Canis lupus familiaris: one gene and its partner. The protein of the gene in region 2 interacts with the protein of the main gene of each other region in a pairwise test. Links are inferred from orthologs where the notes say so. Each region holds a gene or a part of one and is shown on either strand. Other genes may lie near its edges.

Region 1 (7,427 bases), on a different chromosome or scaffold from region 2:
AGCTCCGTTTTGATTTGCCTGATTGTTTTCCTCAAGAATACTGCATTATGCCAGATTTTAAAGAACACATCCTTGTTTGAATCTTACCGTACTGCTAGATGGAGTGGGAATGAGGGACTGCTTTCCCAAGTAGCAACATCAGCTAGCTCAGCATGCAGAGCCGGTTATGCAAGAACAATAGAAACAGCTAGTTTTTTTTTGCAGGAAACGCAGATCATTCCGAATTATCAGAGGAGATGTGTACCTTTTGGGTTTTAAAGGTTTTGTGCTAGAAAAATTGCTGGCTGGAATGACAAGAGGTTTCTGCTCCTGGGCCAACTTTGACTGATTGGAGGTGACTTTCAAGGCTCTCCAAGGCCTGGGTTGGGGGAGGGAAGAGTCTCTGAACCCATGAGTGATGTCAGCCATGGACATCTAGGTGAGGGGTGCAGAGGCACTGGTGAGTGTTAAGACTGCACTTGATAAAGAATGATTGTGGCCTTACTGCTGCTTCAGGCCATAATTCTTTTTTCATACCTAACCTGGGCCAAGTTTCTGGAACAGGTGTGCGTGTGTGCACACGTACACATTGCGCACACACTGAGGACTGACTGGACGTTTCTAAGTTGTCCTTCTCTTGTTGTAAGCCAACCTATTCCTCTATAATCACAGCTCACGCACATGTAAATCAACTTTATCCTCATATAGACCCTTAAAAATGCATGACCTTCTCTCATAATGATTTTTGAATTCCTGATTGGAAGTGTGGTTAAACAGTTAAAAAAATCAATTCTCATCTTCCACTATTCACAAGAGGTGACTGACATTGTAAGCGTAGCGAGCAGGTTAAAAGCTGATTCGTTCCCTCCCAGGTACTAAGGCAAAAACCTGGAAATTTTCTTTCTTGTCATTTTGGACAATAAACTTAAATTTGAATATGGAAAAATGTTATCTTCTTGGAGTTTAATTAGAAGTAAATAAAGAAGCTGTACCATGAAGATTTCACTCAAAGAATGGCAATAATGCTCAGGATCCCCACTGTGCCTCTCTGTTTAACTCCTTGTCATCCAGTCGACATTGGGAATAAATTTCTCAGTCTCTGCCAAATACTAGTTTTATAGTTCTTCACATCTTTCCTGATGGAGTAGCGAACAACGTCTGTGCTTGTGGCCTGTTCAGTTAATTCTGCAAAGCACCGGAGGGCAATTTGGCAGTGTTTCTCTCGATCTTAAAGCAACAGCCCCTTTTTTCCCAAAATGAAATTTGTGTTGAGATATTTGGGGATTTGCATGCAGTTGTAAGCAGTGATACAGAGAGGTCTCCTGTAGCTTTGCCTGCTTTCCCCCAGCGACAGCTTTCTGCAAACCTGTAGTACAGTGGAGATCGACCCTGACACAAACCACTGATCTCATTCAGAATGCTCCAGTTTGGCTTGTACTCGCTTCTGTGTGTGTCTTTAGTTCTGTACAAATCATCTCGTATGTACAAGCACACCTCTGACCTGGCATTCCCACTCTTAGGAATCTCTTCTCCAGAAATATTTGCAGTTGTGCACAAAGCCACTTATATAAAAATATGGACTGCAGTATTTTTTTTTTTGTAGTAGCAAAAGAAATGGTAACATTCTGCCTCCATCATAGAGGAATAAGGAAAGGTTTTTGGCACAATAGGGAATGCTACACAGTAATGAATAAAGAAAGGGAGGGCTCTATATGCTAACATGGAAAGATCTCTAAGATGAAGTAAGTGTAAGAGGCCTAGAACAATATGGTAATATAATGACATTTATGTGAAGAATGTAAAGGGATAAACGTGCACGCATATGTCTGCACAGAAACGCATTTTTATTTATTTTTTTTAGATGGTGTTTTTTTTTAATTTTTTTATTTATTTATGATAGTCACACAGAGAGAGAGGGAGAGGCAGAGACACAGGCAGAGGGAGAAGCAGGCTCCATGCACCGGGAGCCCGACGTGGGATTCGATCCTGGGTCTCCAGGATCGTGCCCTGGGCCAAAGGCAGGCGCTAAACCGCTGCGCCACCCAGGGATCCCTAGAAACGCATTTTAAAACAGGAAGGACACTACCTCAGCCTGTTAACAGTGGCCGCCATGCGTTTCAGTGGAGGATCCTTAAGTCTGAAACAGTGAGGCTACCTCTGGCATTAAAAAAAAATCCGCAGTCATTTCACAGACTGTGCTTAAGACGAACTCAGAGCCTTCCCTAACTGGGAAGAAAAATGCCCTTCCACCTGGAAGAGAGGCACAGTGGGAGCCTAGGGTTGGCCATCAGCCTGAAGTGGCACCCAGGGGTGTGGGGAAACTGAGTCCACCTGGAAAGACACACGGACAAGGACCCACTGTTTTGTAAAGGCAAATAGGCGGAACCTTCCCAGGGTAAAACTTCTTACAACGAATAAAGTAGCAAGTTCCTTCCACACCCCAGCCCCCCCAGCAATCCATTTTCCAATAGCAACCATTAATTATTTATTTAGGAGTTACAATACAATGTGGGGAGGAAAGGCAAAGCCGGACACGCAGTGAAATCCTTGAAGTCAGAGGTAGGAAAATAGCAGTTCTTTCCAAAGGGACATTTTTGTTGCATATAGACACATTTTCCCATAAGAAACTCCCAGAAAAATTGAAACCACATGTGCAGATGGCCAGGGCGTGCTGTGCATGTTGCTGTGCAAGCAGTTCAGCCGGGCTGCAGCAAAACCAGCTTTCTCAGCTCGTGGGTTCTGGGGCTTTCTCAACAATGAGGAGCCCCCAAAGAACAAGCAGATCCCCGCAGAGGCAACAACGTTGCAGCGGGGCGTGGTTTCCTCCCCCCACCCTGTTCCCTTTGCTCTCCAAAAGTTACAAACTGGCTTTCCTTCCTGATAAACCAAGGCTTCCTCACTGATTGGTCTCAGTTTGGGAAAGGACGTGACATCAGCAACTTTGCCGACTTGGGGCTGGGGGGCCCGCTGTGGGCTTTGGCCGACCTCCAGCCGGCTAGGTGGAGCGTGTGCGTGCGTGTGTGTGTGCGCGCGTGTGTGCCTGGGCGCGCGTCCGTCTGACCACAGGTAGTGCTCGGATTACCCTGCCCATTCTGTGCTCTGCTGTTCTCTACCGTCTGAGCAGGACGGTGCGGCCGAGGCTCCGGAATTCCCAGCAGCAGAAAGAACATGGAATTTGGACTTTCCTGAGCAATTGAAGTGGAACACGGAGGTTGCCCGGCTCCGGGGGCACCATGGACGGCAAGCCTCCAGGCGGGACCAGCAAGTCTCTGAGGCCGGGAGGCCCGCCCGACACCAGGCTCCTTTCCAACCCGTGGATGGGGGGTGAGTCCAGGGGCCGTGGGACCAGAGCGCGGGGAGGCTGGCTAGCGGGCTTCGAGAGGAGAGGGCGGGGTGGCTCCGGTGGCCCCGCTGGGGTGTGTCCCCGGCTTGTCAGCCAGACATCCTCCGCTCGGATCAGGGGGTACACCTCCTCTGCGGAGTCCTGGACACCATCCGAGGCCAAGTGGCACAGTTTATTCACCGGTAAAAACTTCAGCTCCGAAGAATGATCCTTTGTGGGCCAGATGGAGCCCGTATATCACATCGGAGGGGTAAAACTTCTAATAGGGTATTTTTACTGCCGAGACATTTATCAAAAGGTCTCAGGTATTTGGCATTTAGGCGGGGCTGGGTTTATAAGTGATGTCCCAACACTGAGCGCTGATCGATTCACTGTAAAAGGAGACTTTTTCTTTCTTTCTTTTTTTTTAAACTTCAGAGAAGCATCTTACAGGCGTAATTCTCACCGGTCGGGTGGTGTCTTTGCTAACTGTAGAGTCTCGTGCCTCTGGGCAACTGTCATTTTTTGGTGAGCATCCAGCAGGTGCCTGCTGACTGAAAGGACTGTAAAATGGGTCTGAGCATGAGGCTTCAGATTCATATTGTTAGCAAGGCTGCCCACGACACGGGTCTATCAAAGGGGCAGTATGCAGGGACCCAGCAGTCAGGTAGGACTCACTACTCTCCTGTGGCACAGCTGCTGAAAGGGAAAACAACAGAAGATACAAAATACCACATGCCTTCCCTCCGACTAACTGAGCAGACAGGACTGCTCATCCATTCATTCACTATCCAGTTTTGCTTCTAAAAGGAGCAGGGCACTCGACAGATAGGATCTGGATCCCCGAAGGCAGAACTGGATTAATCAGATTTTTTGAGCACAAGCTTGGAGTAGTAGAAAGCAGCGTGGCACCAAAAATTACTTTTAAAAAAATGAATGCGATAAATGTATCATTAAAGCAGCAAATTATATTTCCAAGTTCAAGTGGGAAAGAATCAGTAACCTGGATGAGTTCCACATGATTATTTTACACCTAAGTATTGTTTATTTTTATTTCCACTCGTGGGAGGGGGGCGGCCACTTTTCTCTGATTACGGTTTCTAAAGGTCCTAATCCAACTCCATGTGGGGCAGGATGGGTGAGTGGGGGTGGACAGGTGTCCATATGCTAAAGGGTATGGTGCTTCGAAACTGAACACATTGTCACAACTAGAATGCAGAGTCTTAGGGAATCTGCTGAGGACAAGTTTGGAGAGCTCGAACTCAATAACAGAGCTGCAAAGGCTCGGTGGAGTTAAGCCTTCATAAAGCAGGGAATTGGGAGCCATCGATGGTTCTGGAGTGGAGACCTGGCAGTAAGGAAGACTGTAAGTAAATGAATCTGGTGGCCATGTTCAGGATGGATTGTGGGATTACGGGAAATTCTTGCACGAATGCCCAGGTTCTCCAACTCTCTCATGTGTTGGTGTCACCCAGAGGGTTTGCTCACATGCAGATGACTGGGCCCCACCCCCCAGAGCTTCTGATGCTCTTGTAGGCCTGGGTGGAGCCTGGGCATATGCATTCCTAATAGGCTCCCGAGTGATGCTGGTGGTGTTGTTTGGGGCTTTGAGAACCAGGCACTCACTATCTAAGCATGGGGCTTACATTTGGATCGAGCTTTGGAAATGACAGAGGAAGGGGAAACAAGGGTGACAGTTTCAAAGGAAAGAGCAATCAGGCTATGCTGCTTGATTAAATATCGGGACTAAAGGAGGGAAGGCAGCTGAAACTGTAAAGTTTTTAAGCTTAAATGAATGGCAGCCAAGGGGGTTGGGAAGCCGAGACCTCTGAGTGTTCTGCGGGGGCTGTGCTGAAATCCTGGGAAAGGAGAGCTTGTCTGATGGCCCAGAGCAGAGAGCCATGGATGGAGCCCCGGGCCAGGCCTGCAGCTGAGCATGCAAGACCGGTGAGTTAGAGAAGCAGAAAGAGATTTGGGTGTTGTCATTTCCCAGGAACTAAAGGATGAGAAGTTTCCAAAGAAGCAGAATCACACGGGCAGATGGCAGGACACCTCGGCTCTCCTGCCTCCTTGTCCTCTGCACCTGACTGGCCAAGTCCCCCTCACCTTCTGCACCCGGCCCAGCCGCTGCCACCACGAAGCCCTCCCAGACTCTCTGCCGCTCCCTTCCTGAGTGGGGTCCAGCTCCCACTGCTTTGCGTCAGCCCTGCCCCTCGGGCGCAGCCTCAGTTCTGGCCCAGTTGCATTTGTTTATGCTTCTAAAGTCCTGACCTTGGTGAGGTGTGGAATGTGGGCCCCTCCGGAGCGCTATTTCCGCAGGGCCATGCCGGGGCACAGCTCAGGTGAAGCGTATCCCCTGGCACAGGGCCAGGTCAGAGGTTAACCAGGGCCCAGGTGTGCTTCCTCTTGGGGAACGTGGCTGCTCCCTTTCTCACTTGCAGGTCTTTCTCCGCCTCCTCTGGACGAAGGGAGGAAAGGACGTGCAGATGGCAACCAGCTCTTCAGAGAGATTTGTTCAATGATTCAGTCCTCTGCCAGGAGCCCCCCCCCGCCCCCCCAAAAAATGTCTTTTTCTTTCCCTGAAAATACCATGTTATGGGTTGAATTGTGCCTCCCCAAAAGATACGTGGGAGCCCCCACCCCCAGTACCTCAGAACGTGTCCTTGTTTGGAAATGGGGCTGTTGGAGGTGTCATCAGTTCAGGTGAGGTGATACTGGAGTCCGGCGGGCCCTAATTCAATGACTCGTGTCCTTAGAAGAGGGGAGACAGGGAGAAGGCCTTGTGGCAGCAGAGGCAGAGATTGGGGTGACACGTCTAACAAGCCAAAAAGCCCCAGCAGCGCTGGACGGCTACCACCTGAAGCTAGAAGAGGCAAAGAAGGAAGGATTCTTCCCTGGAGCCTCTGGAGAGAGCATGGCCCTGATGACGCTGTCGTGTCTGACTTCTCACCTTCAGAACAAGATGGCAAGGAATAGATAGTTGAGGCCCACTTGGTCATGGCGGCTCTAGGGAGCCCATTCGTACCTATTCATAGAGACTTTGGAAGAATACACGGAGGCAGAGACTAAACACCACCCAGAAGCCCCTGAGCAGGTGTTTGTAGAGAAATTGCTTTCCTCAGGAGATTGAGGCCACCCTGTAGACAGTGGGCTCCCATCGAAGACAGGTGCAAGCAGGCATGGAAGGGCCGCAGTCCCCCACTCTCGTGGATTTTTAGATCCCAGGGTGAGGGTTTCTGTGGGGACACCTGCCTGCTCAGACAGAAGGGGTGATCTCTGAGGTCCCCGTGGAGAAAGCAGCCTGAGAGTGAGCCAGACAGAGAGCGAGAAAGAAGACGCTGGGCGTTGGGACTGGAGAGAGAATGACAGTGGGCAGGTCTGACTGGCCCACCAGCTGCCTCAGTGGGCCTTTCTGTTTCCGGTTTCTGACCACGAGCCTCTGTCTCTGTTCCTCCTCTTTTTGTTTGTCCTGGAACCCAACCAGGGTGCATCGGATTTGTAAACACAGCGCCCAGATCGTGGGCAGTGTTGGCGCCCAGCGCCGGGCCTCCCTTACCACATCCCAGAGGCCGAAGGCAGCCGCCCCCGCCGCCTCGGGCCCACTCAGCCTCCCTCTCTGCCCCTTGACCTCGCAAAATGTTTCTCAGGATGGAGATAGATCTATGCCACTGCCTCAGAGCTTCGTTAGTAGCTCTTTTATATATATATATATATAGTAGCTCTTTTCAGAATGTACCAATTAGCGCCTTTAAAATCCCTTCTGAAATAATGGAATTAAAAAAAAATCATTCCAGAATGCAATAAAAGTGAAATAAATGACAGACTTCCTAATGCACTGCGGGGTTGGATGGAGACTCGATCTAAAAGAAAGGTAGGTTTAATGGCACTAATTGGAGGCCTGGTGGGGCGGGTTAGGAGAGCTGCACTAGGGCATCCGTGGCGTTGCCGGAGACCCCAGTGGGCATCTCTTTTCTGGCAGTAAAACCAGTAGGCCCCGGCTGGGCGAGTGCAGGGGAAATCCTTAGCACATACTCAGGGCCTGGACGGTGTCTTGTGTGCAGATAATGGTCCTGAAGTTTCAAAGTCGGTGGTGGGGTCAGTGGAAGAGGGGATGGTGACCTCGAGT
Region 2 (7,429 bases):
GGGACAGACTGGGGCTGACCTGGGGGGAGGCTAGGGTGGAAGGGAATGTGGAGAGGTCTGGAGCTAGGGTAGGAGGAAGGATGGACGGGCCTTGGAGACTGACAGGCTTTGGAGGGTTGGGGGTTGGGGTAAAGGTACACCATGGGGGTCTTGGCTCCCCAAAGCCAACTATTTCTATGAGACTCAAAGAAGATAAAGGAGTAGAGGGATCCCTGGGTGGCGCAGCGGTTTGGCGCCTGCCTTTGGCCCAGGGCGCGATCCTGGAGACCCGGGATCGAATCCCACATCGGGCTCCCGGTGCATGGAGCCTGCTTCTCCCTCTGCCTGTGTCTCTGCCTCTCTCTCTCTCACTGTGTGCCTATCATAAATAAATAAAAAAAAAAATTAAAAAAAAAAAAAAAAAGGAGTAGAGTTCATGACTGAAGTGTTGGGGGGGGTGTGTCCCTCAGCCGGGTCACATGACTAGAACGTTGCTGCAAAGGATTCTGGGAAACTGAGTTTCTGACCTTTTAGGCTTCTCTAAAGGAGGCTGTTATAGGGTGGGAAACTCTCCAAACACAGAAAGGGCTGTATGGCCAAATGGAATGTCAAATGTGCCAGTAAGTGGCTACTAGGGCTCCAGGGTGGGGGTGGGGGCTGGGCTGGATCCTGTGTGTGCATGTGATGTGGCTGGATCGTGTCTCTCCCCTGCTCACAGCCCTCAGTGGCTCCCATCCATCCACGGTGGGATGGAAACTCCTCCATGGCCCCTAGGGTCCTACAGGTCTGCTTCTATCTCTCATCTTCTTCTTTCCACTCTCCCCTCTGGCCCATCTGCTCCAGTCCTCTGGCCTCTTCCTGTCTCTCAGATATGCCAAGCCACTCCTACCTCAGGCCCTTTGCACCTGCTGTTCCCCTTCCAGATCCTCACATGGCTGGCTCTCACCTCTCCCTCAGGTCTCTGCTCAGATGTCACTTCCCCCTAGAGGCCTGACCTGACCTCCCCTGCTGTGCCATCACTCTGACCCTTTACTCTCTTTGATTTCCTGTCAAAGCCCTGTTGTCCCTGCCATGACAGCATATACTTACTTGTTCATGCTCACTACAATGTCACCTCCATGAGACCAACGGTTTTGTTGTTTTCTGCTGTGTCCCCCATAAGTGCTTAATAAAGAATTGTTGGGGCACCTGCGTGGCTCAGTCAGTTAAGCCTCTGCCTTTGGCTCAGGTTGTGAGTCCAGGGTCCTGGGATGGAGCCCAGGGCTCCCTGCCCACTGGGAAGTCTGCTTCTCCCTCCCCTCGACCCCTCCTCCTGAACATCATGCTCTCTCTCTAATAAATAAAATCTTAAAAAAAATTGTTGACATGATACATGCCTTCCTATTCTAGTCTGGTTCCTTTTAGTTCTCTGGGCCTGGAACAAGAACTTTGTCACTCTGACCTTGGTGGGAAGGGACAGTGGGTGGAGAGATCAGGGGCTAAGCCCCAAGGTAAAGTTTTCTAAGCGCCCCCTCCCCACCAGGAATCTGGGGAAAAGACAAAGAGGGGCCCCTTTCCCTAGATCAGACCCCTCCTGCCTGGGAAGAAACCCGGGAGACCCGGGAGGAGGGAGGAACCCCGGAGGGCAAACGAAGGTGTCTTCTTGGTTGTAATCCAGGGCGCTCCCTGGACTTGTGCTACAATCGGGAAGGACTGCGCTCCCCAACCCTGGAGGTCCCCGTGGGCGGGGAGCTCCTGCTCCGTGGGGATCTGCAGGCCTGTGAGTCCGGGGTGCCCAGCCCCCTTCCCCTGCGGGGCGGTCAGGCGGCTGCCCTTGTAAGGAGGCGAGCCCGGGACACCCGACACGCGGTTATAATTAACCCAGACACGTGGCGATCCCACCCCCCCAACACCTGTCCCTGCCTCCCCCCAGCCCCAGCGCCTCGGGTCTAGGTCTCTGCAAAGGCGACATCGAAGCGCCCTCTAAAAATAAGCTCCTCTCCGGGGTGAGTCCCTCTCTGTCCCCTCCGCCGCTGAAGCGTCCCAGGGTCAGCCGCAGGGACTGGAGTTTGAATCTTCTCAGCTCAGGCAAGACTCAGTTTCCCTCCCACTCACTCACAAGGAGGAAAGTGCGTCCAAACATGGATTTCTGGGGTCAGGCAGTTCTGCCTTCAGACCTGGGCCTTGGCCAAGGGTTCCCCATAGTTGGGTGACAACAGGCAAGTGTCTGGAATACCAGATACCTGGCTCTCGTGGGACTGTTGCAAGGTTTTCCCTGGGGCCCGTCTCAAGACCTAACTTTTACCCAGGTCAAGGCCACTGGGGGCTGAGGAGAGGCCGGGCCATAGGAGGGGCTGGAGGGCCAGGGGAGGGTGGCTTCTACGTGCTTGGGACGTCCCCTGGCATGGTCTCGTGTCCTGGGCAGGGGGCCAGCTGTCCTTGCCAGCCCGACTCAGCACTTGGTCGGGGAATCAGCTTGATGGGGGGCGGGTGGGGATCTGGGCTCAGTCCCTGGGGCGGCCCATACAAGGCCTGATAGGGCTGGGCGCAAGGCGTGCCTGGGCTCAGGGTGGGCACCGTGCCCGGGCAGTGAGCTGGAAGGCTCAGCTGCCTGCCCTCCAGCTCCCTTCCCTGGGGGCAGCCCCTCCCAGCCAATAGCACAGCCCGGCCCCCCTATATAAGGCCTGGGCTGCGGGCCCTTCCTTTGGGTCAGTGTCACCTCCAGGATACAGACAGCCCCTTTCTGCACAGCCCAGCCAGGTACTGATGGGGGTGGGAATCAGGGTGGGGTCCAGACCAGGCCAAAGTGTCGGGGGGTGCATGGCACCAGCAGCCGATCTGGTCTCAGGAGCCTACCCCATATCCTTCTACACAGAGGAGGGTCAGTGTGTGGGAAGGTTGACCCCGTGTCTGGGAGTCCCCTCCACCTGTGAGCCCCCCTGCCTCCCACAGGGTCTGTGGCACAGGGTCACGGGAAGGGATCTTGGAGACAAAAGGAGTTCTGACAGCTGCCAGCTGTCCCCCCTGCAAGGGGCTACAGGCTGGGCCCATGTTCATGATGGTTTGTCACCAGAACTGGGCGCCACAAGCCGTGGGAGGTGTCTGTATGTCAACTGTCGTGGTTTGCAAGAGCAAGCACTGTGGGTTCATTGCACTTGCAATTCTGTGGGTCCCTGTTGCATCCCACAATGGTGTGACCTTGTGTCTGACTTTCTGTAGCTCCTGCATGGGTGCCTGTATGTTGGGTGTGTCCCTGAGCTTGGAGGGATGTGTGTGTGACTCTGTTTACTGTGTGATCTGGGGGTTATGGGGATGTGTGTGTGGGTGTGTGTGTGTGCTTGTGTGTGGCTCTGGGGCTCCCCCCACCTTGCCTCAATGCCCTCTGCTAACATGTTCCTCGCAGGGTGGGGTGGGACACCCTGAAGTGGGGGGCGGTTCTGGGCTGGAAGCCCTGGAGCCCCGAGGCCTGGATGCGTGTCCTCCTAGCCACCCTGGCCCACCTGTCTCCGGCCTGCTGACTTGGTGCAAGTGGAGCCCCTGGAATGTGGGGGGTTGGTGGGGGAGGAGCAGTCTGCCAGATTCTATAAATAATCCCCAACCCTGGATAGTAGCTCCAAGGATCTTTCGTGAATTCCATCCGCTCCTGGCCTGATGCCTCAGCCTTCAGCTCGCCTGGTCCCGATTCCCTTCCCACCGTCCTACCTGCTTCCCATCCCTGGGGCCGCGGAGTGAGCTCCCACGCCGACCACCACCACCTCCTTCCTGGGTCCAGTAACGGCAGCCACCCCCTACGGAGCAGGCCCCAACTCCATGTGAGGGCACGTGCTCAGCCGGCCACGTGCCTGAGCCAGAAGAATCTTCTTGGCAATCCCTTAGGCCAGGCTCAGTTCACAGGCGACAGAGGCTCAGAGAGGCTGAGCACCTGGCTTGGGGTCACACAGCAAGGGAAATGGTAGAGGCAGGATTTGAACCCAGCTCTGCTGACTTCAGCTGCTGGGCTTTTCTTCTCAACTGAGCCCTGCAGGAGAGTGGTCAGCAAACAGAGGTGGGGACGGCCACGCAGCCTTCCCTTCCACCCTCCCCCTCATCCCTTGACCGAGCACCCGGGACCCTTCGTGGAGAGAGTGTCCCTTCCCTGCTTGCACATATGTTCCCAGCAACGCCCTCCACCTTCTCCCCGGCTCCTTACCCAGACTTTTAAAGTAATAGCGACGAAAATTATAATAATAGCTAAGCAAAATACAGCTTATCGTGTGCCAAGCGCTTTACATACATGAACTCCTTGAAGCGCCCCCGGAGATGAGGGTTACTATGACCCCCTTTGTACATACGAGTAATCTGAGGCACAGAGAGGTTAAGCAAGGTGCCCAAGGTCACACAGCTTACTGTATGTGACAGAGCTGGAATTCAAACCCAGGCTATCTGATTCCAGAATCTACACTCTTATCCATGCCAATATTACTGCTCCATCCCAAAGGCTTCCCCCTTCATCATTCAGCTGGAGAAGCTGTCCCTAGCAAGGTGACTCGTCTGGGGTCACCCATCAGGGTGTAGCAGAGCTGGGATCTTAACCACAGAGTCCTGATGCATCCTGTCAAGACACAGGGGCTCAGAGAGGGGCCCCTCTTGTTCCAAGTCACACAGCATATGAGTCAGGACTGGCCATCAGGGCAGCCCAGGTGGCTCATCGGTTTAGTGCCGCCTTCGGCCCAGGGCCCGATCCTGGAGTCCCGGGATGAAGTCCCATGTCCGGTTCCCTGCATGGAGCCTGCTTCTCTCTCTGCCTGTGCCTGTGCCTCTCTCTCTCTCTCTGTCTCTCATGAATAAATAAATAAAATCTTCTAAAAAATATTTAAAAAAAAAAAAGGACTGGCCATCAGGTCTTTCTGACCCCAACACCTTGTCCTGGTCCCTTGCTGGTCTCTGCTGGATGCGGGATAACCTTCTTCGCCCCCCGCCCCACCCCCCAGGCCCCCCCACGCCGCCACCATGCCGTTCGGTAACACCCACAACAAGTTCAAGCTGAACTACAAGCCTGAGGAGGAGTACCCTGACCTCACCAAGCACAACAACCATATGGCCAAAGCGCTGACCCCTGAAATCTATAAGAAGCTGCGGGACAAGGAGACCCCATCCGGCTTTACTCTGGACGATGTCATCCAGACAGGTGTGGACAACCCAGGTAAGCCTCCTTGGTGGAGCACGGACAGGGGCTTGGATGGGCGGGCGGGGCTGCCTGCCGGGGACTCTGTTTCCCCATCTGGGAAGATGAGGATCTTTCAAGCCTCTTAGGATCTGTGGGAGCTGAGAATCTAATATATTTCGAAAATTTTTCAGGGAAGAAAGAGTCCGTGATCTGGGGGCTCTCAAGTAGTAATATTTTTAGGACCTTGTAACTGACCCCCGGAGACTCTTTCTCCTTTGCCCAGATGCCACCTGGACCTTTCCCAGCCTTCCCTCCCCATACTCACAACCTTCAGTCTCTGCAGCTCCGACTCAGGTCTCGAATAAACCCCTGCTGACCACACACGCACACACACACGCACTCACACATGTGTGCATGTGCACATACAGTTTCTATAGGACCAAGGAGCCTGGGTCTTCCTTGCTGGGCACAAGCGCCTCTGACCTTACCCCAAATCCCCAGGTCACCCTTTCATCATGACCGTGGGCTGTGTGGCCGGTGACGAGGAGTCCTACCAGGTGTTCAAGGATCTCTTCGACCCCATCATCCAGGACCGGCATGGGGGTTACAAACCCACCGACAAGCACAAGACTGACCTCAACCATGAGAACCTCAAGGTCAGCTGCCCACAGGGGAGGGGAGGGATGGGGAAGAGAGGGAGGATGACGGAGGTGGGAAGGGATGCTCCAAGAGGCAGAGATGGAGGGCAGGAGGGACAGAGAGGCATGCAGGACAGACAGGGAGACCAGGACACAGCGGGGGAGACTCAGATGGGAGGAGAGACAGGGAAGAGATGAAGAGAAACCGGACGCGGGACAAAAATGGGACGGGGGAAAAGAGATGTATGGAGGAAAGGGGCAGATGAGAGGCTGGGAGAAATAGGGAGGGAGAGGCCGAGAAGGGAGAGGCCGAGCCAGGGTGGTGGTGGGAGAAGCCAGTGGGCAAGGAGGAGCCGAAGGAAGTAGCAGAGTCAGAACTGGGAGCCCTGGGTGGGGGGGCCAGGGAGGACATGGGCTTGCAGTGGAGGGGCGGCTTGTGGGGGCCGTGCCCAGCCCTGACCCCCCTCCTGCCCTCCAGGGTGGAGACGACCTAGACCCCAACTATGTGCTCAGCAGCCGCGTCCGCACGGGCCGTAGCATCAAGGGCTACACACTGCCCCCCCACTGCTCCCGGGGCGAGCGCCGGGCAGTGGAGAAACTCTCCATAGAAGGTGAGAACCCCACCCTGCCCACCACTGGGTAAATCGTGGGTGCTTGATGAGTGACAGCTGGCAGCATTACCCCTGCTGGAAGTCTGGGGGCGCTGTCAAGGAACCCTGAGCAGATCCATGCAGACTTTCAATTGCACCAGGGTCCTGACCTCCATCCATCCATCCATCCAACCAGCCAGCCAGCCAGCTAACCAGCGTTTACGGTTGTCATGGTCCTGAGTAGGGGGCCGGGGCTCCCATGATGAATAAGATGGACAAGGTCACTGTTTTCACAGAGCTGTCAGCCTGGTGGGGAGATAAGAAGAAACACAGAAACCAGCAAAAGAATGATTAATTCCAAAATGCCGTGTAGCCGAGAAACAAGGGTGCATCATAGAATGGCTGGGGGGAGCTCCCTGAGAAAGGAGGAGTTGATTGACAAAAAGGAGCCTGAAGATTTCCAGGCAGGTGGAGCAGCAAGTGCAAAGGTCCTGAGGTGGGGAAGTGTGTTGGAGGAAGAGCAAGGAGACCAGTGTGGCCAGAGCTGAGCAGACCAGGGGAGGAGATGCAGTCAGAGGAGTATGGGTGGCCTGCTTGTGCAGAGCCTTGTGGGCCATCAGGGGGGCTTTGGCTTTGACTCTGAACAGATGAAAGCCATGGGAGGATGGTGACTGGAGTAAGTTCAGACTTACATGGGCAGTTTCCTGGCTGTTGAATAGGGAACAGACTGTGGGCAAAGGTAGGAGCAGAGAGGCTGTAAGGGGCAACCACAATGGTGCAGGCGTGGGGTGAGGGATAGGCAAAGGGATGGAGAGAATGAGCGATATATTTGGGAGGTAGGATCATCAGGACTCGCAAGCATGTTTGTTCTAGTAAACATCTAACAACCAGCTCTTAAGAAGAAAAAAAAAGCCCCAATTTGTAGCGACTGCCAGTTTCCATGGTATAAATTCTCCTGCCACAGCCAACTTTAAACTATGAACATGATATCATAGAGAGATGGGAAAAGATACACATCATTACATACTATTCCCACCAAAGGGATAGAGATGAAAAAAGCTTCAAGAACATAGATAATAAAGATGTAGTAAAATAAT

Evidence for each region. The genes of interacting proteins can lie anywhere in the genome.
Region 1: the proteins of CKM (region 2) and ASB9 interact in binary tests that used the Homo sapiens proteins (3 or more experiments, as listed by UniProt). The two-hybrid records come from large-scale screens. The link is inferred for Canis lupus familiaris from reciprocal best matches to the Homo sapiens genes CKM and ASB9.

The regions. Positions count from the first base shown.
Region 1 is NC_049260.1:11,573,238-11,580,664, reverse strand, and holds the start of ASB9 (ankyrin repeat and SOCS box protein 9), read left to right. Parts: upstream 1-2,897; 5' UTR 2,898-3,212; coding exon 3,213-3,303; intron 3,304-3,511; exon of another isoform or gene 3,512-3,526; coding exon of another isoform or gene 3,527-3,572; intron 3,573-7,427. UniProt on the Homo sapiens protein: Substrate-recognition component of a cullin-5-RING E3 ubiquitin-protein ligase complex (ECS complex, also named CRL5 complex), which mediates the ubiquitination and subsequent proteasomal degradation of target proteins.
Region 2 is NC_049222.1:110,917,872-110,925,300, forward strand, and holds the start of CKM (creatine kinase M-type), read left to right. Parts: upstream 1-2,669; 5' UTR 2,670-2,718; intron 2,719-3,660; exon of another isoform or gene 3,661-3,762; intron 3,763-4,928; 5' UTR 4,929-4,947; coding exon 4,948-5,140; intron 5,141-5,605; coding exon 5,606-5,760; intron 5,761-6,220; coding exon 6,221-6,353; intron 6,354-7,429. UniProt on the Homo sapiens protein: Reversibly catalyzes the transfer of phosphate between ATP and various phosphogens (e.g. creatine phosphate).